7 linked regions of the Oryctolagus cuniculus genome follow. The protein of the gene in region 2 interacts with the protein of the main gene of each other region in a pairwise test. Links are inferred from orthologs where the notes say so. Each region holds a gene or a part of one and is shown on either strand. Other genes may lie near its edges.

Region 1 (3,652 bases), on a different chromosome or scaffold from region 2:
ACGAGGCGCTCCACTATGGGATGTAGGCGTCCCAAGTGGCGGCCTAACCTGCACCACGGCACTCACCCAAACGAGTGAGGGAGCGCGGGCAGACAGGCTGTGGGCGGGGGTTGGGCTTGTTTGCGTGGCCCTGGTCCCCAGGTGTGCTTCCCTGGTCCTCCGCGGGGAGGGAGGCACCTGCTGATTGCTGCTCCCCTGTCCCCTGGGGGATGGGCCCTGGCAGCTCTGCATCCCCTGCTCGCTGTGCCCACAGGTCCTGACTTCCTGGTGACGGAGGTGGAGAACGGTGGCTTCTTGGGCAGCAAGAAGGGCGTGAACCTCCCCGGGGCTGCGGTGGACCTGCCTGCCGTGTCCGAGAAGGACATCCAGGATCTGAAGTTCGGCGTGGAGCAGGACGTGGACATGGTGTTTGCCTCTTTCATCCGCAAGGCGGCTGACGTCCATGAGGTCAGGAAGATCCTGGGAGAGAAAGGGAAGAACATCAAGATCATCAGCAAAATTGAGAACCACGAGGGGGTGCGCAGGTGAGTCCCCGGACGCCAGCCGGCCAGCCCGCCTCGCGCCTGCTCGCTGGGCAGCACACTGCAGCGGAAGGCTGTGCAGGCGGTCTGACGTTGCTCCGTGGCCGGAGGACCCACACCAGAGAGCAGGCCCCTGCGCACAGGACGGGGGCTGGCACCGTTTCCTGACCGGCGGCCGTGGGGAAGCGCGGGGTCGGGGTCTTGGTCTTCCCTCAGAAGGGCTGGCCTGGCGATGAGCCACTCGCCCCCAGAGGGAAGCCTGGGGGTCTTCTTCAGGTCCCCAGGCTGCCCCAGCCCAGCCTGACCACCTCCGCCGTCTCAGTGTGGCCAGCTGGCCCCTCCTAGAGCAGTAGCTCGTGAGGGGCAGGGCGGCAGCAGCCCTGGGGCCCACAGCCTGGTGTTCTGGCCGTCTCCGGCTCTGCCTGGGCATCCTTCCTACCACATGAGCTCGGCTCTCTGCCTTTGCTGTCCTGATGGGCCGGGCTGCTGGCTCGGGCCGGTGATGCGCGTGCCCTCTTGCCTCCCTGGGGCATGCCTGTGGTGTCCTTGGCTAGATGAGGCCGCCGACCTTGGGGTGGGAAGCAGCCAGCAGCGTCGGTGCCCTTCCTGGGAAATGCTGACTGGAGCACTTGAGGGCCTCACAGGGTCAGGTGGAGAGGCGGGGCGGGGCATCCCAGAAGGTGTCGAGGCCCAGGAGCCGGGAGCCTGGCCACGTGCACGCATCTGTGCTGTGTCGGGCCCTCCGAGTTAGGGGTCGTGGCCGGGGCTTCCTGTCTGTCACCATACTTGGGACCCCTGTGGAATATGACTTCTGTTTCGTCCCTGCGCCCTCTGTCAGGTTTGATGAGATCCTGGAGGCCAGCGACGGGATCATGGTGGCTCGCGGTGATCTTGGCATTGAGATTCCTGCAGAGAAGGTCTTCCTTGCCCAGAAGATGATAATTGGGCGATGCAACCGTGCTGGGAAGCCTGTCATCTGTGCCACGCAGGCATGTGGCCCTCCCTGGGGACCCCGTCCCTGTGCACCCCCAGTCCAGCAGGGTCTCACCCGTGCTCTGCCCCTCCCAGATGCTGGAGAGCATGATCAAGAAGCCCCGCCCCACCCGCGCCGAGGGCAGTGACGTGGCCAACGCGGTCCTGGATGGAGCCGACTGCATCATGCTGTCTGGAGAGACGGCCAAGGGCGACTACCCGCTGGAGGCCGTCCGCATGCAGCACCTGGTGAGTGCCCAGGGCCCCGCTTCCGCGGAGCCTCACTGCACAAGTGAGGCACGTGCTGGGCGTGGGGCGCCCCTTCTGCCCCGCCTCCCAGCTCCTGTCCGGAGGAGTCACCCCAGCTTCCGAGTCCTTCGCTTGAGTCCTGGGGTACTGCTGCCCTCAGCAGATGCCTGTCGCCCTCCTCAGAGGTCCAGGGGCTTCAGCACCTTTGGCCTGATCCGGAAGACACCAGGGCTCCTGCCCCCAGCTGCTCTGTTTGGCTGCTGACTGGACTCCCTGCGGGGCCTGTGTGCACCCAGCAAGCTGCCTGTGAGCCGGCCTTGCATGGTGCCTGCAGCGGGACCGGCTTCTGTGCTGTGGGGGTGCAGCTGCCTCACTTAGTCCAGACGACCCAGAGGGGCTTGGGAAGGTGGCCAGCCCCGGTGGTCCTCACACTGGAGTCATCTGCAGGAGTCTGGGGCTGGGCCATAGCCGCCTGACCTCTTCTGTAGGTGGGAGCCCAGGGCTGGTTGTCAAGGCCACTCGGGCTTGGTGCACCTTGAGCCCCAGTCACCTGGAGAGTGGCTCCCTGTGGTCTCTGACGCTCCTCTGTCTGTGTGCTGTGGTAAGCTCAAGCGGGAGGGTGATGACCTTGTCTGAAGCACACGGACTACAGAAAGTGTCTCTGGGCGAAGTCTCCACTCTCTCAGGACCTCGTCTGTAAGCTGGATTAGATGAGATCTACGACTGCTGGCTTTAGTTCTGATAAGTCCCTGGTACACTGATGTAATCCTGACAGCTCCCAGCATAACCAGGGCTGTGGGACAAGAACTCCCAGGACACTGACCCAAAGCCGGCCTTCTCCCTGCGGTTCCCCTGCCCAGTAGGACTTAGAACGAGGCTCTGGGTCCCAGAGTTGGTTCTGGGTTCTGAATTCTGTGCCTCTTTCCCTTAACTGGTCTTTCCCATGGACAGACAGCTTAGGGCGTTGCAGGCTCTGGGCCAGGATGTGGCTGCCCTGCAGGTGGTGCAGGCCACTAGCCGGCAGCCGCCTCTCAGTGTCCGTGCTCGGACTGATGCACTGACCCGTAACTCAGGGCTAGGCCGCACCAGGTATGGCCCTGGCTCCTGTCCCTGTCCCTGTCCCTCGGGCTGCATGCACTCATCCCATCGTTAACTCGGCGGTGCTCCCCGCGTCTGCTTCCGCTCGGAGATGAAATGAATGGGGCGGTGCTGCTGACCCTTCCTCGCCCGTTGATGACTAAGCCACTGGGAACTGCATTGTAATCTCGAACGCTTCCACTCGCTTTCTGATTCTCAGTCTCACCTGAGCTGGTGGTCTGTGGTAACTCAGCTCTCTCGCGCCTGTTTTAATCAGTAGCTGTTAATCAAGCGTCCTGTGACGTCCCCGCATGCTCCCATGGGTGTCTCTTCACATGGCTGTTCAGGGCGGCCCTCGCGAGCTGGCCTGTGCTGCCAGCTCTCCTGCGTGGCCTTGGCTGCTGACGCCTGCCTCCCAGCCCTGTTGTCTGTTCCCACGGCGGGCACTGGGGAGAGCACCCTTGTGCCTCAAGCCAAGCAGCCTCCATGTGGCACAAACACCCAGACAGCCAAGTGAGGAGGGGCCTGCTCCTTCCCGAAATCTGTGTCACGAGGCAGCGTGGTCAGGTCCAGCCTGGGCAGGTCTCCATGCCACGGCGCTAGAGCCCGCGGCCATGCTGGCTGGACCTGGACCCTCTGCCTCTGCTTGACGACCCGATTAACCCGGGGTGCCTTCCTCCCTGATTAATCCCCCGTTCTGTCTTTCCGTGTCTTGTCTTCCCTGTCTCCTCCTCCTCCTCTCTTCCTTGCCCTCTCCCCTAACCCTTACAGATAGCTCGCGAGGCTGAGGCAGCCATGTTCCACCGCAAGCTGTTCGAAGAACTTGCGCGAGC
Region 2 (4,338 bases):
AAGAAGCCCCTGGCCAGACTTGTCTTCTTGCATCTTGCCGCCCAGGGCCTGCATGCTGGTAGGGGTCTCCCGGCCCTGGGAGAGGAGCCCTGGGGCCAGCAGTGGTGCACAGAGACAAGCTGTGACCCCTGACCCTTGGGTGCCCATCCTTCCCTCTGGCTTCCGTCCAGACCGTTGGAGCAAGTTGCTTGGCTCCTCTGGGTTTGGTTTCCTCCGACAGGAGGAAGAATTGCCGAAGCTCTCTGCGGGAACAGGAAGTGCCCAGCACAGAGCAGAGCCCCAGGAAAGCGCAGCGGCTGTGACGCTCCTCCCCTTGGAGAGGCCTCAGGGGCTCCGACACAGCGCGCTCAGCGGAGGTGCTCCCCGAGGGGGCTGGTATTCCCATGCAATACAGATTGGACTACTTTTATAGCGACCCACAGCCCGTGTGCATCCTGTAGCCACAATCTAGACCAGCGGTGAGGAATATGCACCAGGCACAGGCACTGAGCCCGGCATTCGGGACACCTGCTCCCCCTAGCTGAGTTCTCAGGTGGATCCTCGGCTCCAGCTCCTGACGCGGGCTCCTACGATGCAGACCCGGGAAGCTGTGCTGATGACTCAAGTAATTGGGCTCCTGCCACCCACGTAGGAGACCCAGATTAAGTTCTGGGCTCCCAGATTCAGCTCCAACTCAGCCCCCGCTGGGCATTTCACGCATGAACCAGCAGATGGGAATGTGTTCTCTCTCTCTCTCTCAAATAAATACATTATTTTTAAAACGAAAAAAGCACATTCACCATGGAGTCAGTCACACCTTCTCTCTTCTAGCTGTGTGGCCTTGGGAAAATCTCCGACCCTCTCTGAGCCTCCGTTTCCTTATAGGAAAATGGAGCTGCGAATGCCTCACAGAGTGACTGAGACAGGAAGTACTCCGGACAGTGCCTGAGCACAGCGTGTGCTCAGGGAGCACTTGACTGTGTCACATTGCCCATCGGTGTCCTAGCCCACAGTCACAGCCACGCTTCGGCCACTTAATGCATTAACAACGGGGCAGAGCGGCCATCACAGGCCCCAGGCCAGGGCTCTTCCTCCGCGGGCATGGTTGGCAGCACCTCTGGGCAGGCCACTGCCTGCTGCCACGTGCTTGGTGGAGGTTTTAGACCAAAAAGGCTGTGAGGTCAGCAGCTGGGAGTGGTGTCAGGATGTCCTCATTTGTACCGCTCTCCCGGCAGCGGCTGTGTCTCCAGCCGGCCCCACCACTCACAGATGCTGCCTCTCTTATTAACAGGGAGACTCAGCACCCGATGGGCCAGGCTCAGCCCCAGCTCGCCCCCTTCTCGGCTGGGAAGCCTTGAGTCACTGACTTGGCTTCTTGGGGATTACAGAAGTCCCTCCCGGTCTACAGGGTGGCTGCGAGGCAGGCAGAGCCTCCCCAGGGCTGGCAAGGGAGACAATGTAGCCATCGCTGCAGCTCCTGGCTATGTTGTCACTGGGCACTCTCCCTGCCCAGCCGGCCACCTCACAGGTCCCAGGCCTGTCCCTCCCTCTCGCTTCCCATCTCCCCCGGCAGTGCAGCCCGAGGGGTCCCTAGTGGCGGGTTCTGGGGGCAGGGTCTCGGGGCCGGCGAGCTGACCTGGAGCACTCTTGCTTGTAGATGTCAATGATGTTCTCCACCAGCAGGTTCCTCTGCAGCCCGTACACGCCGTGCCGGTCCATGACCACCTCGTGGCGGCAGGACGGGCAGCGGAAACGGCCGCCGGACATGGACACCGTGCCGCTCCGGTTGGTCCAGTAAGGATTTGCGGCCTGCGGTGGCCAAGGTAGAGGTGAGGCCAGTGCTCCCTCCTCAGCCCCTTCCCTCTTGAGTCTCTCCCGCTCTTGAGGTGAGAACAGACCCCTGCCCGGAGAGCCCCCGAGCAGTCAGCAGGCCTGGCTTCCGTCTCTGCCTGACCCTGGGCAGTGACTTTCTCTCTCAAAACCTCAGTTTGCCCACTCAAGAAATGGGTGCTATAATTAGGGCAAAGGTGAAGCAGTGAAGTGGCATTGGAGACGGTGCTCCTGGGGACCGCTGGGTCCTGCCTGCCTGCCAGACCTCCCTAGAGCCCCTCCGGCTCCCACCTTGAAGAGGACAGCCTCGGTGGGGGGGCCCTCTAGGCCTCGTGCCTGCCCGTCCCCCTCCTCCCACAGCTCCGGGCCCCCTGCCACTGTGGCGCTGGCCGGGCCCCAGGGGTCTGGTTTCTCTCCCCTCTCTGCCTGCCTCCCCCTTATCACTTGAGGCATTTGACTCTCAGTCCTCAGCGGGCCCAGGGCAGGCGGGGGAGCTGTGGACAGGCTGGGAGGGACACATGCGTCATGGAGAGGCAGCGGGGCCGCCAGAGCCACCGCCCCAGCCCCAGCCCAGGCCAGAGGCCTCCACAGGGGATCACTCGGAAGCGGAAAGAATCAGCTCGCATTGCAGGGCCTTCGGCTAAGAGCAAAGGGCCGCCGAGTTGCCGCCCAGGGACCCAGGAGCGGCCATGGCCAGCACCGACCTGGAAGATGTCGTTGGCACACTTGCGGCAGAGGTTGTGCTGACACGGCAGGATGACCACCGGCTTGGTGAACATCTCCAGGCAGATGGGACAGATCAGCTGCTTCTCCAGGTTCTCCATGGGGCTGCCATCCTGGATCAGGCCCGACTTGTAATCCATAACGTTGGGGTGGCTGCCTCCTCCACCTGCTGGCTCCGGAGACCTGTGCCTTTGTCACAAACACCCGCTCGGAATCTCTCGGCCTTCTTCTCCCCGCGTCTGAATTCTGTCCGGGACTGGGGCCCCTCTGGTATTTATAGCTGGGTCTCGGTCACATGAGCCCGGGAGGGGACCAGCTGAGCATTCCGATGCCAAGTGCGCGGTGGGGCTTGAGTTTCTTCCAAGCCTGGGAGACGCGGCCCTCTCAGATCACACGCAAGCCTGAGCAATCGCTGTTCCCCGGGCATAGGGGGTCGAAAACAAGAACAACCTGTTCGGAGGCAGCCTGGCGGGGGCATGGGTACCCAGAGTTCCCTCCAGAAACTGGGTCCCCCTAGCTAGGCTGCTGGGCCAGGGATGGGATCCAGGGAGGGGACCTCGGGGATTCAGGGGTTCATAGTCACTGTCCCCCTCATTAACGTAAATCAGTGCCTGCCACTCCCCTGGAGTCCTGGGCAGCTCTCAAGATAAGGGACAGGGCCGCCCCTCTCTGAGCCTCGCACCTGAGCCCAGCGTCTCATGTAGACAGGGGAGGCCCCACCCGGGGTGTCTGTCTCCCTCTCTTGGCCACTTATTCCCCTTAACGCTGAAAGGGCTCCCTTGAGTCCAGTCCCCTCATTCTATAGAGTTTGAAATGAGTCCCAGCAAAGAGAAGACTTTACACTTCCTAGCAGCAAAGCCAGGAACCTTATCCACACACCAGACATTCTTCAGTGCAGCAGGGACCAAGGTGACAGGCAGAGGAGCGGTCTCCTGCCCTGGGATGTGCACAGCCCAGGAAGGAGCAGAGGGGAGCAGCTCTTATGGAAACCCCGCCTGGACGCTCAGCACTGGCCGGAAGGCTCCCCTGGGTCTCGGCACACATTTTCAATTTTACTCCACTTTAAAAAAGCTTTACTTATTATTTTTAAAGATTTATTTCTTTTATTTGAAAGACAGAGTTACAGAGAGGCAGAGTCATAGAGAGAGGTCTTCCATCTGCTGGTTCACTCCCCAGTTGGCTGCAACAGCCGGAGCTGTGCCAATCTGAAGCCAGGAGCCAGGAGCTTCCTTCCGGTCTCCCACGTGGGTGCAGGGTCCCAAGGACTTGGGCCATCTTCTACTGCTTTCCCAGGTCATAGCAGTGAGCTGGATAGGAAGTGGAGCAGCCCGGTGCCATGGCTCACTTGGTTAATCCTCCGCCTGTGGCGCCGGCATCCCACATGGGCGCCGGGTTCTAGTCCTGGTTGCTCCTCTTCCAGTCCAGCTCTCTGCTGTGGCCCGGGAAGGCAGTGGAGGATGGCCCAAGTGCTTGGGCACCTGCACCCGCGTGGGAAACCAGGAAGAAGCACCTGGCTCCTGGCTTTGGATTGGGGCAGCTCTGGCTGTGGCAGCCATTTTGGGGGTGAACCAACGGAAGGAAGACCTTTCTCTCTGTCTCGCTCTCTCACTGTCTATCTGTCAAGTAAAAAAAAAGGAAGTGGAGCAGCCAGGACTTGAACCGGCACCCATATGGGATGCCGGCACTGCACTGCAGGTGGCGGCTTTACCTGCTACACCACAGCTCCAGCCCCAATATTTACTTATTTATTTGAAAGGCAGAGTTGGAGAGAGAGAGAAAGAGAGAAAGAGAGCGAGCGGATCTTCC
Region 3 (4,281 bases), on a different chromosome or scaffold from region 2:
CAACGAGGCCTTCTCCTTCCCCGTGCCGCTCAGCCAGATCCAGGTGGGCCGCATGGCAGGGGCAGGGCGGGCTGCAGCCTCGCACGGCCCGGCTGACCAGGCTCGCTCGCTGTCTCCTTTCTCTGTCTCTCTCGCTCCTCCATGGACCCGCTGCCCTGCTCCGCCCAGAGTGTAGACCTGGTGCTGGCCGTCTGGGCCCGGGGCCCGCAGGCCCGGATGGAGCCGGTGGGCAAGGTGCTGCTGAGTGCCCGGGCCTCTGGCCAGCCGCTGCAGCACTGGGCCGACATGCTGGCCCACGCCCGGCGGCCCGTGGCCCAGTGGCACCGGCTGCAGCCCGCCCGGGAGGTGGACCGGGCCCTGGGCCTACAGCCTCGCCTGCGCCTGCCCGTGCCTCACTTCTGAGCGCTGTGGGCGCTCGGCCGCTCCGCCCTGCGTGGGGACCCCCCAAATAAATGCCTTCTCTCTCTCCTTTGTGTCCTGCTTCTGCCCTGTGGGGACACGGTGGTGGGGGACACACCGCTCTGCCCTCCTCAAGGACGGGGAGGAGGTGGGGAGGGGAGGGGGCCTGGGTGGCGGCCGCGGAGGGAGGGGTGTCCCCTCTGCCTCCCGCGCGTGAGCAGCAGGGGGCAGCAGACATCTTTGCAACGTTCAGGGGCCTTTGGGGGCCCAGCCCCAGCCCGGATGTGCTCCTAATCCCCGAGCATCTGGAAAAGTTCAGCGCCCCCAAATCCTCCCTCGTCAATGTGCCGCTGATCCTGCCCCGGGGGCCAAGCACGGGGCCCCAGCAGGGCGGGGCCTGCCCGGGCAGCCAGGCAGCCTGGAGCCCCTCGGGTCACACAGAGGTTCCCGGGCGGCGGTGCCGTTCTGCCCCCGTGAAGGGGCCCGCGGGCTGGGCGGGCGCAGGCTGGGAGCCCCCCCCCCCCACCGTGCGCGCATCTCCAGGGCACCCGCTCCCCGGCGGCGGGGACACAGGCCCATGCGGCTCCCTGCCTGGGGCTGCTTGGAGGTCCGGGCCTTAGCCTGCAGGAGAAGGTGGATGTGGCCAGCGTGGGCCTTGGCCCTGCTCCAGGACACGGCAGGGGCCGGTGGGGGGTGGGCCTGGCTGCGGGAGGCTGGGGGGCCATTAGGAGCAGAGTTTCACACCGCTGGGCCAAGGCTTCGCGGGGAGCCCCGAGGCCCACGGGCAGAGCCGGCCGCTGCGGTCCCCGGCCGCCGCGGTCCCGGGCCACTGTCCTCTCGGGCTCCTTGCAAGGATCAAGAAGGCATCTCGACCCCGTCACCGAGCCCTAAATAGAACAACCCGAGTGGCTCCCCCCACACGCATACCCAAGACTTCTTGGATGGGCCAGCAGCACGCGGCCGGCGGCGGCCTGGGCTGGGCCGTGGGGAGGTCTCTGGGCTCCGTGTGCCCCCATTGGTCTAGGGAAGACGCTGTCTCCTTTCTGAGCAGGGGCCCAGCCCGGGGGAGGGCATTTATAGCCTCGCGGGGGCCCACCATCCCAACTTGCCACGGCCAGCACGACCTCGCTCCCAGTCCTGGTCCCCGACGTTAGGTGAGGCTGGGCCCGGCTTCGAGGCCCGTGGACAGGGTGCTGCCCCGTGAGCGGCCCGCAGGGCTTCCCGGGGCAGGGGGCCTGGGGCTGGGGCTGCCGAAGAGCCAGGAGAGCGGAGCAGGGGCAGCTGCCGGGGGAGATGGCGCGGACCGGGCCGGGGGCCTGCACCGGCGGCAGGGGACCAGGCCTGCACGCTCAGGACCCCCGGGAGGGCAATGGATGGGTCCCACGACCCCAGGGCCTGCGCCCGGAGCCACACCGGGGAGGGTCCTCCCGCATGCCAAAGGAGCAGAGTTAAAAATAACCAGGAGTCCGGGCAGCCACCTGCGCTGGCCCGTCCCTCCTGCGGGACAGCTGCAGCGCCTCAGGCCCTGCCCAGGGCATTCTGGGAGCCAGTCCTCGCCCCAGGGTGGGCGGGAGTCCTGAGACATCACCCCTTGGGAGTGGGAGTATGAGGCCTGTGCCCCCCAGCCCTGCCAGGCTGGTGTCGGGCGGCGCCAGGCCCTGACCCCTCTTTCTGTCCCCACAGGCTCTGAGCTCCAAACCTCAGCATGGGAGAGTAAGTGGTGCCCAGCCCGGGGTCCCCCCCACCCCGCCTTCCCCTCGCCCTGCGGGGGTCCCGGCCCCCCCAGCAACTCCCCTGCCCTCCTCAGCCACCGCCCCCTCCCCACCTGCCCTGTCATACCTGCCACCGCTCCCCCAGCCGCAACCTAACCTCTCTCTCTTCTCCCCTCTTCCTCCTGCGCAGTGAAGAGGTGAGTACCTTAGGGACCAGAAGTGTGGGGGCTCCGCGCCCCTGTCACCCTCGGGGCCGCTCAGGGGTCAGGGCTGCAGGGCCCTGGAGGCCCAGAGGAGACGCCCAGCACACACACACCCCGCCCCAGCCCCCCCACCCCCAGATGCTGATGAAAGAGGAAGTGGCTGCTGGGGGCCTCGTGGGGCGAGGGAAGTGCAGACGGGGCCTCCTCACTTCTTCTTTCTGACCTCTGCACCCGGCCTCCCCCTCCCCCAGCCCGGTCCATCCAGCCCAATGGCACCCACCATGCAGCCCCGTGCCCCTGGAGCAGGGCCCCGGGCGGGAAGGGTGTGGGGTCCCCCGGGCCCGGCCCTGACCCCCGTTCTCCCCTGCAGAAACGCAACAGGGCCATCACGGCCCGGCGGCAGCACCTGAAGGTAGGAGGGGGTCCTGGGAGGGGGTGGGGCGGCCCGCGGGGGGTCTCTGCGCAGGACGCAGGCTCACCGCCCCCCTCCCCGCGCCCCTGCAGAGCGTGATGCTGCAGATCGCGGCCACCGAGCTGGAGAAGGAGGAGGGCCGCCGCGAGGCCGAGAAGCAGAACTACCTGGCGGAGCACTGCCCGCCCCTGAGCCTCCCTGGCTCCATGGCCGAGGTGCAGGTAGGGACCCCCGCGCGGCGGCCCGATGGGCGGGGCTCCCGCGGGGGCCGGCCGCCCACCCACGCGCGCCGCCCGCCCCCAGGAGCTGTGCAAGCAGCTGCACGCCAAGATCGACGCGGCCGAGGAGGAGAAGTATGACATGGAGATCAAGGTGCAGAAGAGCAGCAAGGAGGTGAGGGCCGGGGAGGGGGCGGGAGGGGCGCGGGGGCCGGGCCGGGCGGGGCGCAGCCGCCCACCTGCGCCCACCCACGCCCGCCCACGCCCGCCCGCAGCTGGAGGACATGAACCAGAAGCTGTTCGACCTGCGGGGCAAGTTCAAGAGGCCCCCGCTGCGGCGTGTGCGCATGTCGGCTGACGCCATGCTCAAGGCCCTGCTGGGCTCCAAGCACAAGGTGTGCATGGACCTGCGGGCCAACCTGAAGCAGGTGAAGAAGGAGGACACGGAGAAGGTGAGCGCCGCGCGGGCGGGCGGGCGGGGCGGGGCGGGCGCTGGTCCAGCCCTCTCCCACCGCACCTGCCTGCCTGCCCACCTGCCCCCAGGAGCGGGACCTGCGCGACGTGGGCGACTGGAGGAAGAACATCGAGGAGAAGTCGGGCATGGAGGGCCGCAAGAAGATGTTCGAGTCCGAGTCCTAGGCCGCCCACGCCGGGGCTGGGGAGGGGGCTCCGGGGGTCCCCCCGCCTCCTCGCAGTGCTCAATAAAGGAGTCCCGCCCCCATGTCTGCTCTGGTCAGCTTCTGCCCCAGCCCACCCCCGCTCGTCTGCAGCCTCCCTCCCCACCTCGCGGGACCCTGCAGAGTGGGGGCTGCTTCCGGGGGTGGGGCATGGTCCCAGGCTCCCCGTGGACGCCCCCAACAACACCACAGGGCCGGGGAGAGGGCACGGGTGTCTGAGCAGGGGTCCCCGCGTGAACCCCTCCGGCCCTTCAGGGGTCATCCGAAGAAGGCCCTGCACTGGCCCGCAGAGACCCCGCCCCTGTGGGAGTCCAGGTGGTGCCCTGGGCAGCCCCGGCCGCCTTGTTCTGGGGGCCCCGTGTTCCTGAGTAGGGGGCCGAGGGGCTGCCCAGTGCCTGCAGCCAGGACTCTCATCTGGGGCCCTCCCCACCACGCACGAGGGCGTGGAGACCTGGGCCGTCTCAGGGCGTGGCCTTGGAGTTGGGCCGGGGTGGGGCGCTCTCGACCTCTGACCTCAGGTGCTCCCACGCCTGAGACTGGCGGCCATGCCAGGGTGGCTGCACGGCTGAGCACACTCCTGTCTCATCGCACTCGGCCAGGGCCCCAGGCCCCTGCTTGCCGTCCAGCGCGGTCCCCACGGGAACTGCCCCGGCCCCTCTG
Region 4 (4,440 bases), on a different chromosome or scaffold from region 2:
GAAGGCAGTGGAGGATGGCCCAGGTCCTTGGGCCCTGCACCTGCATGGGAGACCAGGAGGAAGCACCTGGCTCCTGGCTTCGGATGGGCGCAGTGCGCTGGCTGCAACACGCCGGCAGTAGCGGCCACTTGGGGGGGGGGTGAACCAACGGAAAAAGGAAGACCTTTCTATCTCTCTCTCTCTCTCTTACTGTCTAACTCTGCCTGTAAAAAAAAAAAAAAAAAACTGGGGCCGGCGCCACGGCTCACTAGGCTAATCCTCCGCCTAGCGGCGCCGGCACACCGGGTTCTAGTCCCGGTCGGGGCACCGGATTCTGTCCCGGTTGCCCCTCTTCCAGGCCAGCCCTCTGCTGTGGCCAGGGAGTGCAGTGGAGGATGGCCCAAGTGCTTGGGCCCTGCACCCCATGGGAGACCAGGAAAAGCACCTGGCTCCTGCCATCAGATCAGCGCGGTGCGCCGGCCGCAGCGCGCTGGCCGCGGTGGCCATTAGAGGGTGAACCAACAGCAAAGGAAGACCTTTCTCTCTGTCTCTCTCTCTCACTGTCCACTCTGCCTGTCCAAAAAAAAAAAAAAAACCTGATAAAACTCGAATAAACTATAGACTTTAAAAATATGCACCTTGGGCCAGCATTGTGATATAGCTGGGTAAAGCCACTGCCTATGATGCCAGCATCTAATATTGGACCAGTCCATGTCCCAGCTGCTCCACTTCCAATCCAGCTCCCAGCTAATTGCCTTGGAAAAGCAGCAGATGACCCAAGTGCTTGGGTCCCTGCCACCCATGTGGGAGACCCCAGTGAAGTTCTTGGCTCCTGGCTTTAGCTTGGCCCAGCCTTGGCCATTTGGGGGAATGAACCAGAATATGGAAGATCTCTCTCTCTCTCTCTCTCTCTCTGCCTCTCCTTCTCTCTGTAACCCTTTCAAATAAATAAATAACTTAAAAAATAAAAATAATGTGCCAATGTTGACTCATTAATCATAACAAACGTAGCGTGGTAACGTAAGATGTTCATAACAAGGGAAACTGCTGTGTGTGTGTGTGTGTGTGTGTGCATAGGAGAACTCTGTGTGATCTGTTAGCTTTTCTGTAAATACAAATCTGTATTTGTGTTGTGGCATAGTGGGTCAAGCTGCCCTGCTGTCCCACACTGAAATGCCCAAGTCCTGCCTCTGCTTTCAGTCCGGCATTCCGGCTCATGGGCACCCCGGAGGGCAGCAGAAGCCGGCTCAGGTACGTGGGACTTTGCCACCCACGTGGGAGACTTGGAAGAAGCTCCTGGCTCCCGGCTCCAGCCTGGCCCAGCCGTGGCTGCTGGGGCCATTTGTGGAGTGAACCAGCGGATGGAAGGTCTCCAAGCCCGCAGGGGACGCCCTAGGTGGCGGGAAGCACCGGACGCTCTGCCTCCCACGCGTGAACGCGAGCGATGGGCAGGACCGCGGGCTCCTCTGCGCTGGAAGATGGGCAGCCAGGGAATTTCCCAGGAACCTGCGCGCAAGCCGACGGACCCAGCGACCGCTCCCGGTGGAGGGCGCCCGCCGCGCCGGCTTCCACCAGGGGGCGGCCGAGCGCCGAGTCCGAGGTGCTGCGCCTGCGCCTTGGACGCGCCCCCGGCGTCCACTATGCGCATGCGCAGCGCAGCTGCTCACTGACGGGAACTAGAAGATGGCGGCGTCCGTGGTTTGCCGGGCGGCAGGCGCCGGGGCCCAAGCGCTGCTGCGCACAGGCCGCTCGGTGAGGCAGAGGCGAGAGCGCGGGGTTGCGGAGTTCTGGGCTTGGGGACGCGGACGGGGAATGGGCTGTTAGCGGTGGCAGGTGGAGGTGGGGAGTAGGCGGGGTCAGGGCGGTGGGAAGGTCACGGCCGAGGGCAGGGGTGCCTGCTTCGCTGGGGCTTCCGTGGGGTCGAGCTGGAGAGAGCCCCTCGAGCCAGCCCTCGTTCTTTGCCCTCCCTTCTTGCAGCCAGCCCTGTTGAGAGCGCCTGCCTTGCGCGGAACCGCAACCTTCGCGCAGGCCCTCCAGAGCGTGCCCGAGACGCAGGTGAGCCTGCTGGACAACGGGCTGCGCGTGGCCTCGGAGCAGTCTTCGCAGCCGACCTGCACGGTGAGTGCGGGGGCGCCTCCGGGTTGGACCCGCCGTCTCTACCGTGGTCGAGGCGTGACCTTGGGCACACGCCCTCTGGTTGTGGCGTGGCTCGCTCGCTGTAGCCTGTCCCCCTCCCCGACCCCACCGTGGTCGACACCGTTCCGCACACGGTGTCTGCCGAGCAGGAGGCCAGGTTCTTTGCCAGCTGATGGCTAAGCGGCCGAGTGATAGAAGTCGCGGCTCCATCTTGGCTGCGGAAGGTGGAATTCAGAGGCCGTGGGTGCCTTGCAGGGGGCCGCGGTTGTCAGCTTCCCAGCCCCGCGTCCTGATCGCCAGGCTAGGCCAGGCACGCACTTGCAGAGAAAATGCACTTGAGGATGACAGTGAGACGAGTGCGCGATTTTCCAAAACAAAGCACAGCAAATCCTTGGAATTGATCGAAGCATAGAAGTCTTTTTTTTTTTTTTTTTTTTTTGACAGGCAGAGTGGACAGTGAGAGAGAGAGACAGAGAGAAAGGTCTTCCTTTTGCTGTTGGTTCATCCTCCAATGGCCGCCACGGCCGGCGCGCTGTGGCCGGCATCCCGCGCTGATCCAATGGCAGGAGCCAAGCGCTTCTCCTGCTTCTCCTGGTCTCCCATGGGGTGCAGGGCCCTCCACTGCACTCCCGGGCCACAGCAGAGAGCTGGCCTGGAAGAGGGGCAACCGGGACAGAATCCGGTGCCCCGACCAGGACTAGAACCCGGTGTGCCGGCGCCGCAAGGCGGAGGATTAGCCTAGTGAGCCGCGGCGCCGGGCGAAGCATAGAAGTCTTGACCAGCCGTGTGACTACTAAGTGGGACGAGCCCCAGCCAGGAAGCCTGCCCTCTCCCCTCCTTCGTGCCCCTGCCCCAGCTCCGGGACCTAATGCTTTCACTGGCGGATTCTGTCGGTTTTCCGGGAACGGACTGTGTCCTGGGATGTAAGGAGAAGGTGGGGGCCGCTTCCTCGTCGTGGGGCGCCTGTGTGAGCCGACCCAGGCCCTGTGAGGAAGGCTCTAGGCAGTGCCGGCTCTCACGGGCTCTGATGCCCTGTTTGGTAAGGAGCACCACCGTGCCCCGCCAACTCCAGAGAAATGCTGGTGACTATACCGAAAGGGTCCTCTGGATTGTAAATGCATCTTGCATGTGAAACACATGTCCATCTGTGACTTTATGACACGCGGCGTGGACAGCAACATCTCTTAGCAAAGTACAGTGAAAAAATTAAGTCAGCCATGGGCAAAGCATTAATGAGATGATGAGAGCGCTGTGGCCTGGTGGGGTGTCTGGTGTGTGTCCCAGCATACCAGCAGACTTAAGAAAGTTAAGATTGTCTCATTGGGTGCCAAGGAGACATTTGGGCGTGATGGGTGTCCAGGTCTGATCAGGAAGTTTTTCAGTGTTGTTGGAAGGCTGCTGTGCTTAGTAACACATACAGTGCCGTCACTGGAGCGAAGGTAGGATATGCTATATAGAAGAGAGGGAATAGTTACTGCTGTTTGCAGATGGTATACTCTGAAAACTCAGAATCAGCTGGACAGTTTGTTGCGGGGGTGGGACCAGGTAAACGTGAGCAGTTAGAAACATCCCAGGGTGTTGTTGATCTCCACCTGGGAAATGGGGCAGTGTCACTGTCCGGGGCCCTGTGCCATGGGCACTGCTTACCTCCAGGCACAGGGCTCTGGGCAGGACAGCTCTCCCTGCCCGGGGCCTATGCTCAGTCACTCAGGGTGGCGGATGGCTGGGGGCCGGGGTGGTTTGTCACCTTTGTTGGTGGCTTCTTGTCCAGGTGGGCGTGTGGATTGATGTTGGCAGCCGGTACGAGACTGAGAAGAACAATGGGGCAGGCTACTTCGTGGAGCATCTGGCTTTCAAGGTGAGGCGCTCCAGGTCTGTGTCTTCCCTGGGCTCAGGCCTCCCTGTTGTCCCTCCTGAGGGGAGGTCAGCAAACTTAGGCTCCTGACTACTCCAGTCTCTGCTTTGCCCTCGGAGGAGCCTCTCTGTGAGTCCCTGCACGAGGTCCCTGGAGCACAGGAGCCCCACTTTGCACTAAGGCCAGGGCTGTGCTATGTGAAAGCAGGTGGACTTTGGGAAACACAGGGAGCTGCACACCTGCATGGGAGCAAACCCGCACATGGGCATGCACACCTGCTTACGGCAGAGTGTCTGCACCTGCTGGCTGTAGAGGCACTTTTTTTTTTTTTTTTTTTTTAATTTATTTGACAGGCAGAGTTATAGACACAGAGAGAGCGACAGAGAGAAAGGTCCTCCTTCCGTTGGTTCACACCCCAAATGGCTGCTACGGCTGGCACTGTGCCAATCTGAAGCCAGGAGCCAGGTGCT
Region 5 (3,652 bases), on a different chromosome or scaffold from region 2:
ACTCTGCCTGTTAAAAAAAAAAAAAATAGAATTCTTGGAACTCAACCATAAAAAGATAAATAACCTCATTAAAAATGGGCAAAGAATCTAAATGGATGTTTTTCTAAGGAAGATACACAAATGGTCAATAAACATATGAAAAGACATTCAACATCATTAGGCATTGGAAAAACGCAAATCAAGGCCCCATGAGATATCACTTCACACCCACTGGAAAGGATAAATAAAAAAGATGATAATAAGAGTCAGTGAGGAAGGGGAAAAGTTGAAACTCTCATTCACTACTGGCCAGAATGCAACATGGCTCACTGACTCTGTAAAAACAGTTTGGCAGGAGGTCAACACTGTGGTGCAGTGAGTTAAGCTGCTGACTGATGCTGGCATCCCATCTCAGAGTGCTGGTTCAAGTCCTGGCTGCTCCACTTCCAATCCAGCTAATATGCTTGGAAAGCCAGTGCAGGATGCCCCCATGACTTGGGCCCATGCCAACTATATGGGGGACCATATACAGTTCCTGGCTCCTGGATTCAGCCTGGCCCAGACCATGAGGGGAGTGAACCAAAGAATGGAAGATTTCTCTGTCTCTCTCTCTCTCTCTTTCTCTCTGTCTCCCTCTCTGTCATTCTGCCTTTCAAGTAAATCTTTGGAAAAACTAAAACAAAACAGTTTGGCAGTTCCTCTGGAAGTTAAACATGGAGTTAACATAGGGTATAACAATTCAACACAAGAGAAATGAAAATATAAGTCCACACAAAAGTTTGTATGGAAATATTTATAGCAGCATTATTCATAAAAGCAAAAACATCCCAAATGTCCATCAACTGATGAAAGGATGAATAAAATATAGTACATCCACACAATGGAATATTATTCAGCCATGAAAAGGAATGGAGAACTGATTTATGCCATAACACACATGAGCCTTGAAAGCATGACCCTAAGTGACAGAAACCAGACATAAAAAATCTTATGTTGTATAATTCCATTTACATGAGATGTCTAAAATAGGCAAATCCACAAATTCAATTAGGAAATTAGTAGTTGTCAGGGGCTATGGAGAGCGGGACATTGCGGATTGACTGCTGATGGGTACAGGATTTCATCTGGGTGGACAAAAATGTTAAACTAGACAGTGATGATGGTTGCACAATGCAGTGAATTTGCTAAAACCACTGATATATACCCTTAAAAATATAGCTGACTTGTATGGTACTGTAAATGAGATATTTTTCAATGAAGTGAACAAAAGAAAAAGCTAACAGGGTTGGCCCTATAGCATAGTAGGCTAAGCCTTCTGTCTGTGGCGCCAGCATCCCATATGGTTGCCAGTTCACGCCCCGGCTGCTCCTCTTCTGATCCAGCTCTCTGCTTATGGCCTGGGAAAGCAGTAGAAGATGGCCCAAGTCCTTGGGCCCCTGCACCGACATGGGAGACCCCAAAGAAGCTCCTGGCTCCCAGCTTCAGATCGGCCCAGCTCCAGTCATTGTGGCCATTTGGGGAGTGAACCAGCGGATGGAAGATCTTTCTCTCTGTCTCTCCCTCTCTCCGTCCATAACTCTACCTCTCAAATAAATAAATCAAATCTTAAAAAAAAAAAAAAAAAAAAAGAAAAAGCTAACTAAACCATCTCCATTTCTCCATACACACACACATTTCTATTTTAGATCCTCATCATCTCTTAACTGGCAATATATCCCACGTATTTCTAATGGTCTTTAATTCACTGGAAAATATACTTGAAAGATTAATTATATCTCAATAAAAAAAAAAAAAGACAGAGATTGTAACTTTGCTACTACAGCACAATTTGAGCTGAAAAGTCATTTTCTGGTGACACTTCCATAAGAGACATGAAAGGGCCAAGGCTTAAATCCTTGAGGTCACCTCAGACCCCAAAGCATTCCATTGTCCCCACCTACCCGGCTCTTCCATGTGAACAATGATCCAGTTGAAGGCCACCTCGGCTCCCATATTTCCAGTGAAGTACACAGCCTTCCGACACGCTTCTAGAGGGAAGCCCATCTCGGCCAGCTGCATCACCGACGACTCATCGATGTCTGATGCTACAGAGCACAACAGGATATTCTGGTGTAAAAAAGTAAACTCTATGTCTCTTCTTGCCTTAGCTGCTCTTCACCCCCACCCCTTATCCACCTGCCACCCAAAGAAGGTGCTATTATGTTGGAAGTACAAATAATGGTTTTAGTTTGTTTTGTTTTGAGCCATTTTAAATGTTAAGCCATTTGAGCTGAGTTTATATCCTTGCTAGAAACAGGAATCCTGGGGATTACCTGCACAATACAAGCACTGAAAAACAATTCTCCAAGGTCCTAGGGGGAGATATACTGTATATCCAGAATCATTTCAGCCTCAGGTCATTCTCAAAACCTCTACAAGTAGCCTCGCCTGAGATGGAAATTTGAAGAGAAAAGCATTGTCTACAGGCCAAAAAGCTGTTCCTTAAATTTCACAGGAAGCTGCAGCAAGGCCTTTAAATACATCCAGCAATCACAGGAGAGCAATCAGTTCTTGGAAATGTACAGCCCAAATGTTAAGTATAGAAGGGAAAAAACACCTTTTAAAATTCTATACACTGGGGCCGGTGCTGTGGCACAGCAGGTTAACGCCCTGGCCTGAAGCTCCAGCATTCCATATGGGCGCTGGTTCGAGACCCAGCTGCTCCACTTCCAGTCCAGCTCTCTGCTATGGCCTGGGAAAGCAGTAGAAGATGGCCCAAGTCCTTGGGCCCCTGCACCCACGTGGGAGACACTGAAGAAGCTCCTGGCTCCTGGCTTTGGATCGGCGCAGCTCTGGCCATTGTGGCCATTTGGGGAGTGAACCATCAGATGGAAGATCGCTCTCTTTCTTTCTCTCTCTCTCTCTCTCTCTCTGCTTCTCCTCTCTCTGTGTAACTCTGACTTTTAAATAAATAAATAAATCTTTTAAAAAATTCTTTTTTTTTTTTTTTTTTTTTTTTTTGACAGGCAGAGTGGACAGTGAGAGAGAGAGACAGAGAGAAAGGTCTTCCTTTGCCGTTGGTTCACCCTCCAATGGCCGCCGCTGCAGCCGGCGCACCGCGCTGATCCGATGGCAGGAGCCAGGATCCAGGTGCTTTTCCTGGTCTCCCATGGGGTGCAGGGCCCAAGCACCTGGGCCATCCTCCACTGCACTCCCTGGCCATAGCAGAGAGCTGGCCTGGAAGAGGGGCAACCGGGACAGAATCCGGCGCCCTGACCGGGACTAGAACCCGGTGTGCCGGCGCCGCAAGGTGGAGGATTAGCCTATTGAGCCACGGCGCCGGCCTCTTTTAAAAAATTCTATATACTTAAGACATAACTGAGATAGCTTTACAAACCCAACTTGAGCCAAACATGGAGGATTTCATTTTCTTTTCCTGATATCATATAGATTTTGATAGAGCTATGTGTATACATATGTGTGTAAATATATGTTCAGTGACTATATATATGTACATGTAGATGTGTACAACTATACATATACAGTGCTCTTAAACTATACCTAAAAAGGACAAAAAGCAGGAACACAAAATATAACCTTTATATTTTCCATGTCCTAAGGTCTCTACTGAAAATTCTCCCAATTTCTTGGAAATCAGTAGAATTAAGGAATAGAGATATCTGTTCTACAAAAA
Region 6 (2,356 bases), on a different chromosome or scaffold from region 2:
GCTCTACTTCTGATCCAGCTCCCTGGATCAGAAAGTGTCTGGAAAAGGCAGTGGAGGATGGCCCAAGTCCTTGGGCCCCTGTTCCCATGTGTGAAACTCAAAAGAAGCTCCCAGCTTCCGAAGCCAGGAGCCAGGTGCTTCTTCCTGGTCTTCCACGTGGGTGCAGGGGCCCAAACACTTGAGCCATCCTCCACTGCCCTCCCAGGCCACAGCAAAGAGCTGGACTGGAAGAGGAGCAACCAGGACTAGAACCCGGTGCTCATATGGGATGCTGGCGTTGCAGGTGGAGGATTAACCAAGTGAGCCACTGCGCCGGCCCCCCAGCACTATTTTTTAAAGATCCCTTGTATGCCTGGATTTAGCATTTTTCCACACCAAAATAAACTCATCTTTTAATTCCTCTTCTACAAACCTTTTGAAGTACCCTTGTATTTGTGATGCAGTGGCTCTATAAAGCTTATTTATTGTATTTCCTCTTTAGGTCATAAATCTGCGTACTATCAGACCAATGGACATTGAAACCATAGAAGCCAGTGTCATGAAGACAAATCATCTGGTAACAGTGGAAGGAGGCTGGCCACAGTTTGGAGTAGGAGCTGAAATTTGTGCCAGGATCATGGAAGGTATTGCAAAGAAAGTGGATCTAGAATATGGTCAAACTGTAACAAACAGTGTGTACCTGAACACGTGTTGAATAGAGAAAAAAAGCTAGGGTAGCCAAATGCCTTGAACTTTGAACTTACTGTATGGTGTTAATATTTTAAAAAACAAAACCAGGCCGGCGCCGCGGCTCAATAGGCTAATCCTCCACCTAGCGGCGCCGGCACACCGGGTTCTAGTCCCGGTCGGGGCGCCGGATTCTGTCCCGGTTGCCCCTCTTCCAGGCCAGCTCTCTGCTGTGGCCAGGGAGTGCAGTGGAGGATGGCTCAAGTGCTTGGGCCCTGCACCCCATGGGAGACCAGGAGAAGCACCTGGCTCCTGCCATCAGATCAGTGCGATGCGCCGGCTGCAGCGCGCCAGCCGTGGCGGCCATTGGAGGGTGAACCAACGGCAAAAGGAAGACCTTTCTCTCTGTCTCTCTCACTATCCACTCTGTCAAAAAAAAAAAAAAAAACAAAACAAAAAAAAAACAGAAAGTCTTTCCCAAAACAAGTATTATTTTACCTTATGCTTTTTCTTCCTGCGCAGCCATTTTTGCCAGCGTGCGAGTGCTCGGCTGCTTTTTCCTGCCCACCTCAGTTGCGTCTTCCTTCTCTCCTAGGTCCTGCATTCAATTTCCTGGATGCACCTGCTGTTCGTGTCACTGGTGCTGACGTCCCTATGCCTTATGCAAAGATTCTAGAAGACAACTCTATACCTCAGGTCAAAGACATCATATTTGCAATAAAGAAAACATTAAATATCTAATTTGGACCTGAAAATCTAGCCATTGAAATTTATTTAAAGTCCTTGCTGGTACCTGGATTGTACTGCAAGATCTCACTATTCATAAAGTAATCTCTACAGCAACATGTGTTTTTGTACTGGGAAGAAGTTTAAATATGTCTGTGTGTAGAGAATTCTCCACTGTGCTGCCCTAGACTCCTGCCTGCTTTTATCTGTTTTAGTTGCCTTGTTCTTTGAATAAACAGAAAATTTTATCCATTGTCACTAGGACTGATACAGATGTGGCAGTCTTAAAAGATATATCCAGAATATATAACTTATATGTATTAAATAAGTGTATAATCTACATTTACTGTAGGTTGTTTTGATAAGGAATAAAGAAATTCCTAACTATGACTAGTTGTGTTTTTATATGCTTGAAAAAAAAGAGTGAAGACTTAAAAGTGTATTAAGAAATTAGTGCCAAATGGAAAATAAGCTGTAACTATAAAACCACTGCCTGTTTTTATTGAGATTTTATCCAAAATAGCAAGACCAACCTCAGAATCATGGCTTGGAGCCAGTATTGTGGCACAGCAGGTTAAGTGACACTGGCGGCATCCACATCTGAACGACAGTTTGAGTCCCAGCTGCTCCAGAAGCATTTTGGTGGTACCCGCTTTTAAGTAGAAGATAGGAATGTTGGGGTGGTGGCTTGGTGCTGTGGTTGGGACATTCCACAGCATATATCAGAATGCCTGCCACCCACAGGAGAGATCCATATTGAGTTCTGGGCTCCTGGCTTCAGCCTGGCTCTGGCTCTTGCAGGTATTTGGGGAGTGAGCTAGCAGATGAAAGATCTCTGTGTGTCTCTACCTTTCAAATAAGTAAAAGTAAATGTTTTTAAAGAAGGACTGTTCGTTTTTAGGAGGGAAAATAAGAGATGAAATACACACAGGAAGGAAGGCAGCTAGCACTGTGAATCTACTGT
Region 7 (4,133 bases), on a different chromosome or scaffold from region 2:
AACACTGTGCTCCTACCTAGAGGTTCCTTTCAAACAGTGTGAATGGGATGGCCCAGATCCCATTTGAAGAAAATCTCAAGTAGGAACCTCAGAGAGCCTAAATGTGCTTTTATTATATCTATCCTGCATATGCATAGCAGGCTGAACTGAGTACTCCAACAGCAAATGACTGTTAAAGAAAGATCAGTGGGGCCAGCGCTGTACATAGCAGTTAAAGCCACCGCTTCAAGTGCTGGCATCCCATATGGGTGCCGGTTTGTGTCCTGGCTTCTCCACTTCCAATCTAGTTCTCTGCTATGGCCTGAGAAAGCAGTGGAAGATGGCCCAAGCCCTTGGGCCCCTTGGGCTCCTGCACCCATGTGGGAGACCCAGAGGAGGCTCCTGGTTTCGGATCTGCCCAGCTCTGGCAACTGCAGCCATTTGGGGAGCAAACTAGCAGATGGAAGACCTCTCTCTGTCTCTGCCTCTCTGTAATTCTGCCTTTCAAATAAATAAATAAATCTTTTAAATAAATAAATAAATAAATAAATAAAGGAAGATCTGCATGTTCACTTGTTCTTAAACCTGCCAGAGTTTAAGAGGAAAGAAAGAAATAAAGTAAAGCAGACAAGAATTACTGGACAAGTCTTCCCCACATCACCCCTGGCTGCGTAGAAAGCACCGAGTTTGGTTAATTTTGTCTCTGATCCTGCCAAGATCCAATCTCACAGAGAAAGACCAAGCAATCCAGGAACTTTAAAAGAGCGGTTCTGTTGTGAAGACTCCTTATCAGACATAGTGCCTTAAACCCTCCCATTCCCCAGTACACCCACAGGTCCCTCTGGCTCAGACCTGGATTGGCTCCCAGTGGCCATCAGAGCATGTTCTCTAGGTTCTGTCTCTCTTGCACTCTGAATTCCTATCCGCCACTTGCTGCCTGCTTCCTCTCTCCCTCTTAGTCTTCAGTTTCTCCCGGAAGGTGTTTTTGGATCTCAGACTCCAGGGCAAAGAGAAAGGGAGTCCCTGGACAGTCTGAACCCTGGCTCAGACAGCTCTAGGGGAGAATCCCAAAGGCCTTTCCTCCTTTCCTGAGCCTCTGGGCAGGGAGGGCAGGATCCTGGTTCCAGGGTCTCAGTGCCCCCTGTGCCATTTGAGCTGCCTGCACTCATCATCTCTATTAATAAACACCCTCCCTCCCCCACTGCCAGTGCTGCCCCCACGCCTGCCCAGCTCATGTTCTCCGGTCACAGCAGCTCAGTCCTCCAAAGCTGCTGGACCCCAGGGAGAGCTGACCACCGCCTGAGCAACTGGTAAGTCTCCAGGTCTCCAGCTACAGGGTCTGGAGCCCACTCTGTTGACTTCCGTTTCTTTATGCAATTATGATTCTTGATCTGGGGGGTGTGGCCTCCCTTCTTTATTACCCTTGGCTCCCAGCTGTCCAGGTCTGGGGAGCCACAGAGTGTTGGAAGGAGAACGGCCAAGGAGGTTGGGGGAAATGGAGATGTTGCGGGAGGCACTAGAGGAATGGGAAGCAGATATGAGGCCCCACTACGCCAGCAGAGTTGCAGATGTGTTTGTGAGACAGGATTCAGAAGAAGACCACATTTCACCAAGTGCCAATTTTTAGTTAGATAAGTTGGAGTCTATCTTATCTCAACTTGTTCCTCTCCATTGCCAGATGCTGTTACCATGTTCCTGTCTCCCCTCAGTTCCCACTGCCATGATATTGCTGAATTGACATGTGTCAGGGTTCAAATGTCTTCTGGCTTCTCCCTCCACTGCAGCTCTGGGGTCCGGGGTGGGGGTGGGGGGTTGTGACTGAAGGGACAAGCTGCATAGCCATGACCTCCCAGGCCATGTTCCAGCTGGCCCAGTGGTAGAACAACAACCTCTCCTTCTTATGGAGAATGTTTTTGGCTGAATCTCATCAACCCTGGCAGAACATTTCTCTAACCTCCAGGGGCTTGGGGTAAGAATGAGGAGAGACCAGAGCCTGGATTCATCGTCCTAGTCTGTTATCCCATTGCAAATGAAAACTTCAAGTCATGCCAAGCCAATGAATCCTGGGTGCATTGCCCTGCCTGCTTTCCTGTTGTTTTTTAAATATTCACACCCTTAGTTTTGTTCCTATTCCCTGCATCAGCTCTATGGTAAACAGCACACTGGAGGTTGGTAGAAAATAAAGACAAGGGGTGCATCTATACTTCCTGCCCTCCTTCCCAAGAAAAGAGAAACCCCAAAGCAGTGGATTTTCACCTTTGGGGCATAGATGACTTCTTTGAAAATCTGATGAAATTTTGTCCCCTGAAGCCCTTAGCCTCAGGTAAAGAAGTACTTCCCGGGGCTGGTGCTGTGGTGTAGTAGGTTAAGCCTCCACCTGTAGTGCCATCATCCCGTATGGGAACCCATTCGTGTCCTGGCTGCTCCTCTTCTGATTCAGCTCTCTGCTTATGACTTGGAAAAGCAATAGAAGATAACCCAGGTGCTTGGGCCCCTGCACTAGTATGAGAGACCTGGAGGAAGCTCCTGGCTCCTGGCTTCAGATCAGCTCAACTCTGGCCATTGGGGCCATTTGGAGACTGAACCAGTGGATGGAAGACCTCTCTTTCCATCTTTCTTCTGTCCGTCTGTAATTCTACCTCTAAAATAAGTAAATAAAATCTAAAAAAAAAAAAAAAAAGTACTGCCATACTGCAGACACTTGGTTTTGTCAGTCTCCGTCCATCCTCCAACTATTTTTCCCTTCCACCCAGATCGAGTCCACCTCCACAATGCCGCTCTCAGGAACCCCTGCCCCTAACAAGAAGAGGAAATCCAGCAAGCTGATCATGGAACTCACTGGAGGTAGGGGACATTTGCATGTACCCAGTGTGGGACTTCTTATTTAGAGTATCTTTGCCCCAAGGGTCCCAGAAATATAAAGTTATATAGGTTTGAGGGTGAACAGACAGGAGGAACTCCAGTTGGGATGGGAGAAGGAAAATTCTGTATTGACAGCTGCCTACTCTACCAAGGTCTGGCCCCTGGACTTTTCCCCATGCCCTAGTTTCTCCAATGGTCTCTTTCTAGGATGCTCCTTTACCTCTTTACACTGCACCCCAAACCCATGCCCCTTTGACCTCAAACACCCTTTCACTCTAGTATCCCCACTCTCTTCAGTCTCATGCATGCTCTCCAATTCTGAACCCAGGAAGTCAAAATGTCCCATAAACTAGAGAGTTTGGTCTGGCATCACAGAGAGCAGCTGCTCCCCTAAATGATCTCTGCAGGACAAACACACTCAGTTGTGGATAAAGTCTGCCTTCTGAGGTCAGAAAACCCCACCTTACTCTTTCCCTTGCTTCTTCCTCCCTACCTCTCTGAAAGGTGGACAAGAGAGCTCAGGCCTGAATCTGGGTAAGAAGATCAGTGTCCCACGGGATGTAATGTTGGAGGAGCTGTCGCTGCTCACCAACCGGGGCTCCAAGATGTTCAAACTGCGGCAGATGCGAGTGGAGAAATTCATCTATGAGAACCATCCTGATGTTTTCTCTGACAGCTCAATGGTGCGTTTGGAACTTCACCACTCTTTCAAAGCCTAATGCCTTTTCTGACAGTTTCTTGGCAGGCTCTGAACCTCCAAAATACCATCAACCTCCGCTCCCTGAGAATTTATAAGCTCATTAACCCCCCAGATATATTAAGCCCCCAACAGCTACAGGGTGTTACAGCCCATCTCTGAAACTGAAGTCTCCATCTGAAAGTCAGTGAAGGGGTGGGGAGTACCACACCCTCAGGGAGAAAATTCCTTCCCAGTATGGGTAAGTGTTAAAGATAGGGTTGCCAGATGAAACACAAAACACCCAGCCTTGTATTTTGAAGTAAAAATAAACAATGAATAATTTTTTAGTAAAATATGCCTTGTGCAAATTTTGGACATAAAAATCAAATTTAAATTTAAGATTAAAATACAGGCTGCCCAGTTAAATTTGAGCTTCAAATTTATGCAAACAGTACTTTTTTACATATGTATGTCCCATGCAATATTTAGGGCATATTTATACTAAAAACAAATACACAGTATTTGTTGTGTATCTGAAATTCAAATTTAAGTGATGTCCTGCAATTTTGTTTATGAAATCTGGCAACCCTAGAAGGAGTTATGTGAGTTTTTA

What was found.
Region 1: the proteins of TRIM63 (region 2) and PKM interact in a two-hybrid assay, tested with the Homo sapiens proteins (3 studies listed by BioGRID and IntAct). The link is inferred for Oryctolagus cuniculus from reciprocal best matches to the Homo sapiens genes TRIM63 and PKM.
Region 3: the proteins of TRIM63 (region 2) and TNNI2 interact in a two-hybrid assay, tested with the Homo sapiens proteins (2 studies listed by BioGRID and IntAct). The link is inferred for Oryctolagus cuniculus from reciprocal best matches to the Homo sapiens genes TRIM63 and TNNI2.
Region 4: the proteins of TRIM63 (region 2) and UQCRC1 interact in a two-hybrid assay, tested with the Homo sapiens proteins (2 studies listed by BioGRID and IntAct). The link is inferred for Oryctolagus cuniculus from reciprocal best matches to the Homo sapiens genes TRIM63 and UQCRC1.
Region 5: the proteins of TRIM63 (region 2) and USP13 interact in a two-hybrid assay, tested with the Homo sapiens proteins (2 studies listed by BioGRID and IntAct). The link is inferred for Oryctolagus cuniculus from reciprocal best matches to the Homo sapiens genes TRIM63 and USP13.
Region 6: the proteins of TRIM63 (region 2) and PDHB interact in a two-hybrid assay, tested with the Homo sapiens proteins (2 studies listed by BioGRID). The link is inferred for Oryctolagus cuniculus from reciprocal best matches to the Homo sapiens genes TRIM63 and PDHB.
Region 7: the proteins of TRIM63 (region 2) and MYOZ1 interact in a two-hybrid assay, tested with the Homo sapiens proteins (2 studies listed by BioGRID and IntAct). The link is inferred for Oryctolagus cuniculus from reciprocal best matches to the Homo sapiens genes TRIM63 and MYOZ1.

What each region holds. Positions count from the first base shown.
Region 1 is NC_091443.1:110,893,407-110,897,058, forward strand, and holds part of PKM (pyruvate kinase PKM), read left to right. Parts: intron 1-253; coding exon 254-524; intron 525-1,359; coding exon 1,360-1,510; intron 1,511-1,589; coding exon 1,590-1,742; intron 1,743-3,590; coding exon of another isoform or gene 3,591-3,652. UniProt on the Homo sapiens protein: Catalyzes the final rate-limiting step of glycolysis by mediating the transfer of a phosphoryl group from phosphoenolpyruvate (PEP) to ADP, generating ATP.
Region 2 is NC_091438.1:145,359,885-145,364,222, reverse strand, and holds the start of TRIM63 (E3 ubiquitin-protein ligase TRIM63), read right to left. Parts: upstream 2,822-4,338; 5' UTR 2,673-2,821; coding exon 2,514-2,672; intron 1,789-2,513; coding exon 1,616-1,788; intron 1-1,615. UniProt on the Homo sapiens protein: E3 ubiquitin ligase. Mediates the ubiquitination and subsequent proteasomal degradation of CKM, GMEB1 and HIBADH.
Region 3 is NC_091432.1:1,635,595-1,639,875, reverse strand, and holds TNNI2 (troponin I, fast skeletal muscle), read left to right. Parts: upstream 1-1,501; 5' UTR 1,502-1,553; exon of another isoform or gene 1,554-1,589; intron 1,590-2,082; 5' UTR 2,083-2,104; coding exon 2,105-2,112; exon of another isoform or gene 2,113-2,119; intron 2,120-2,301; coding exon 2,302-2,308; intron 2,309-2,511; exon of another isoform or gene 2,512-2,684; coding exon 2,685-2,726; intron 2,727-2,780; exon of another isoform or gene 2,781-2,818; coding exon 2,819-2,947; intron 2,948-3,029; coding exon 3,030-3,119; intron 3,120-3,219; coding exon 3,220-3,396; intron 3,397-3,487; coding exon 3,488-3,583; 3' UTR 3,584-3,664; downstream 3,665-4,281. Other genes in the region: SYT8 (synaptotagmin-8), read left to right, coding at 1-43, 169-402. UniProt on the Homo sapiens protein: Troponin I is the inhibitory subunit of troponin, the thin filament regulatory complex which confers calcium-sensitivity to striated muscle actomyosin ATPase activity.
Region 4 is NC_091441.1:100,474,266-100,478,705, forward strand, and holds the start of UQCRC1 (cytochrome b-c1 complex subunit 1, mitochondrial), read left to right. Parts: upstream 1-1,560; 5' UTR 1,561-1,662; coding exon 1,663-1,731; intron 1,732-1,956; coding exon 1,957-2,097; intron 2,098-3,886; coding exon 3,887-3,973; intron 3,974-4,440. UniProt on the Homo sapiens protein: Component of the ubiquinol-cytochrome c oxidoreductase, a multisubunit transmembrane complex that is part of the mitochondrial electron transport chain which drives oxidative phosphorylation.
Region 5 is NC_091435.1:100,057,499-100,061,150, forward strand, and holds part of USP13 (ubiquitin carboxyl-terminal hydrolase 13), read right to left. Parts: intron 2,064-3,652; coding exon 1,920-2,063; intron 1-1,919. UniProt on the Homo sapiens protein: Deubiquitinase that mediates deubiquitination of target proteins such as BECN1, MITF, SKP2 and USP10 and is involved in various processes such as autophagy, endoplasmic reticulum-associated degradation (ERAD), cell cycle progression or DNA damage response.
Region 6 is NC_091441.1:91,561,154-91,563,509, forward strand, and holds the end of PDHB (pyruvate dehydrogenase E1 component subunit beta, mitochondrial), read left to right. Parts: intron 1-481; coding exon 482-623; intron 624-1,261; coding exon 1,262-1,407; 3' UTR 1,408-1,782; downstream 1,783-2,356. UniProt on the Homo sapiens protein: The pyruvate dehydrogenase complex catalyzes the overall conversion of pyruvate to acetyl-CoA and CO(2), and thereby links the glycolytic pathway to the tricarboxylic cycle.
Region 7 is NC_091446.1:64,761,144-64,765,276, reverse strand, and holds the start of MYOZ1 (myozenin-1), read left to right. Parts: upstream 1-1,181; 5' UTR 1,182-1,289; intron 1,290-2,732; 5' UTR 2,733-2,750; coding exon 2,751-2,823; intron 2,824-3,345; coding exon 3,346-3,524; intron 3,525-4,133. UniProt on the Homo sapiens protein: Myozenins may serve as intracellular binding proteins involved in linking Z-disk proteins such as alpha-actinin, gamma-filamin, TCAP/telethonin, LDB3/ZASP and localizing calcineurin signaling to the sarcomere.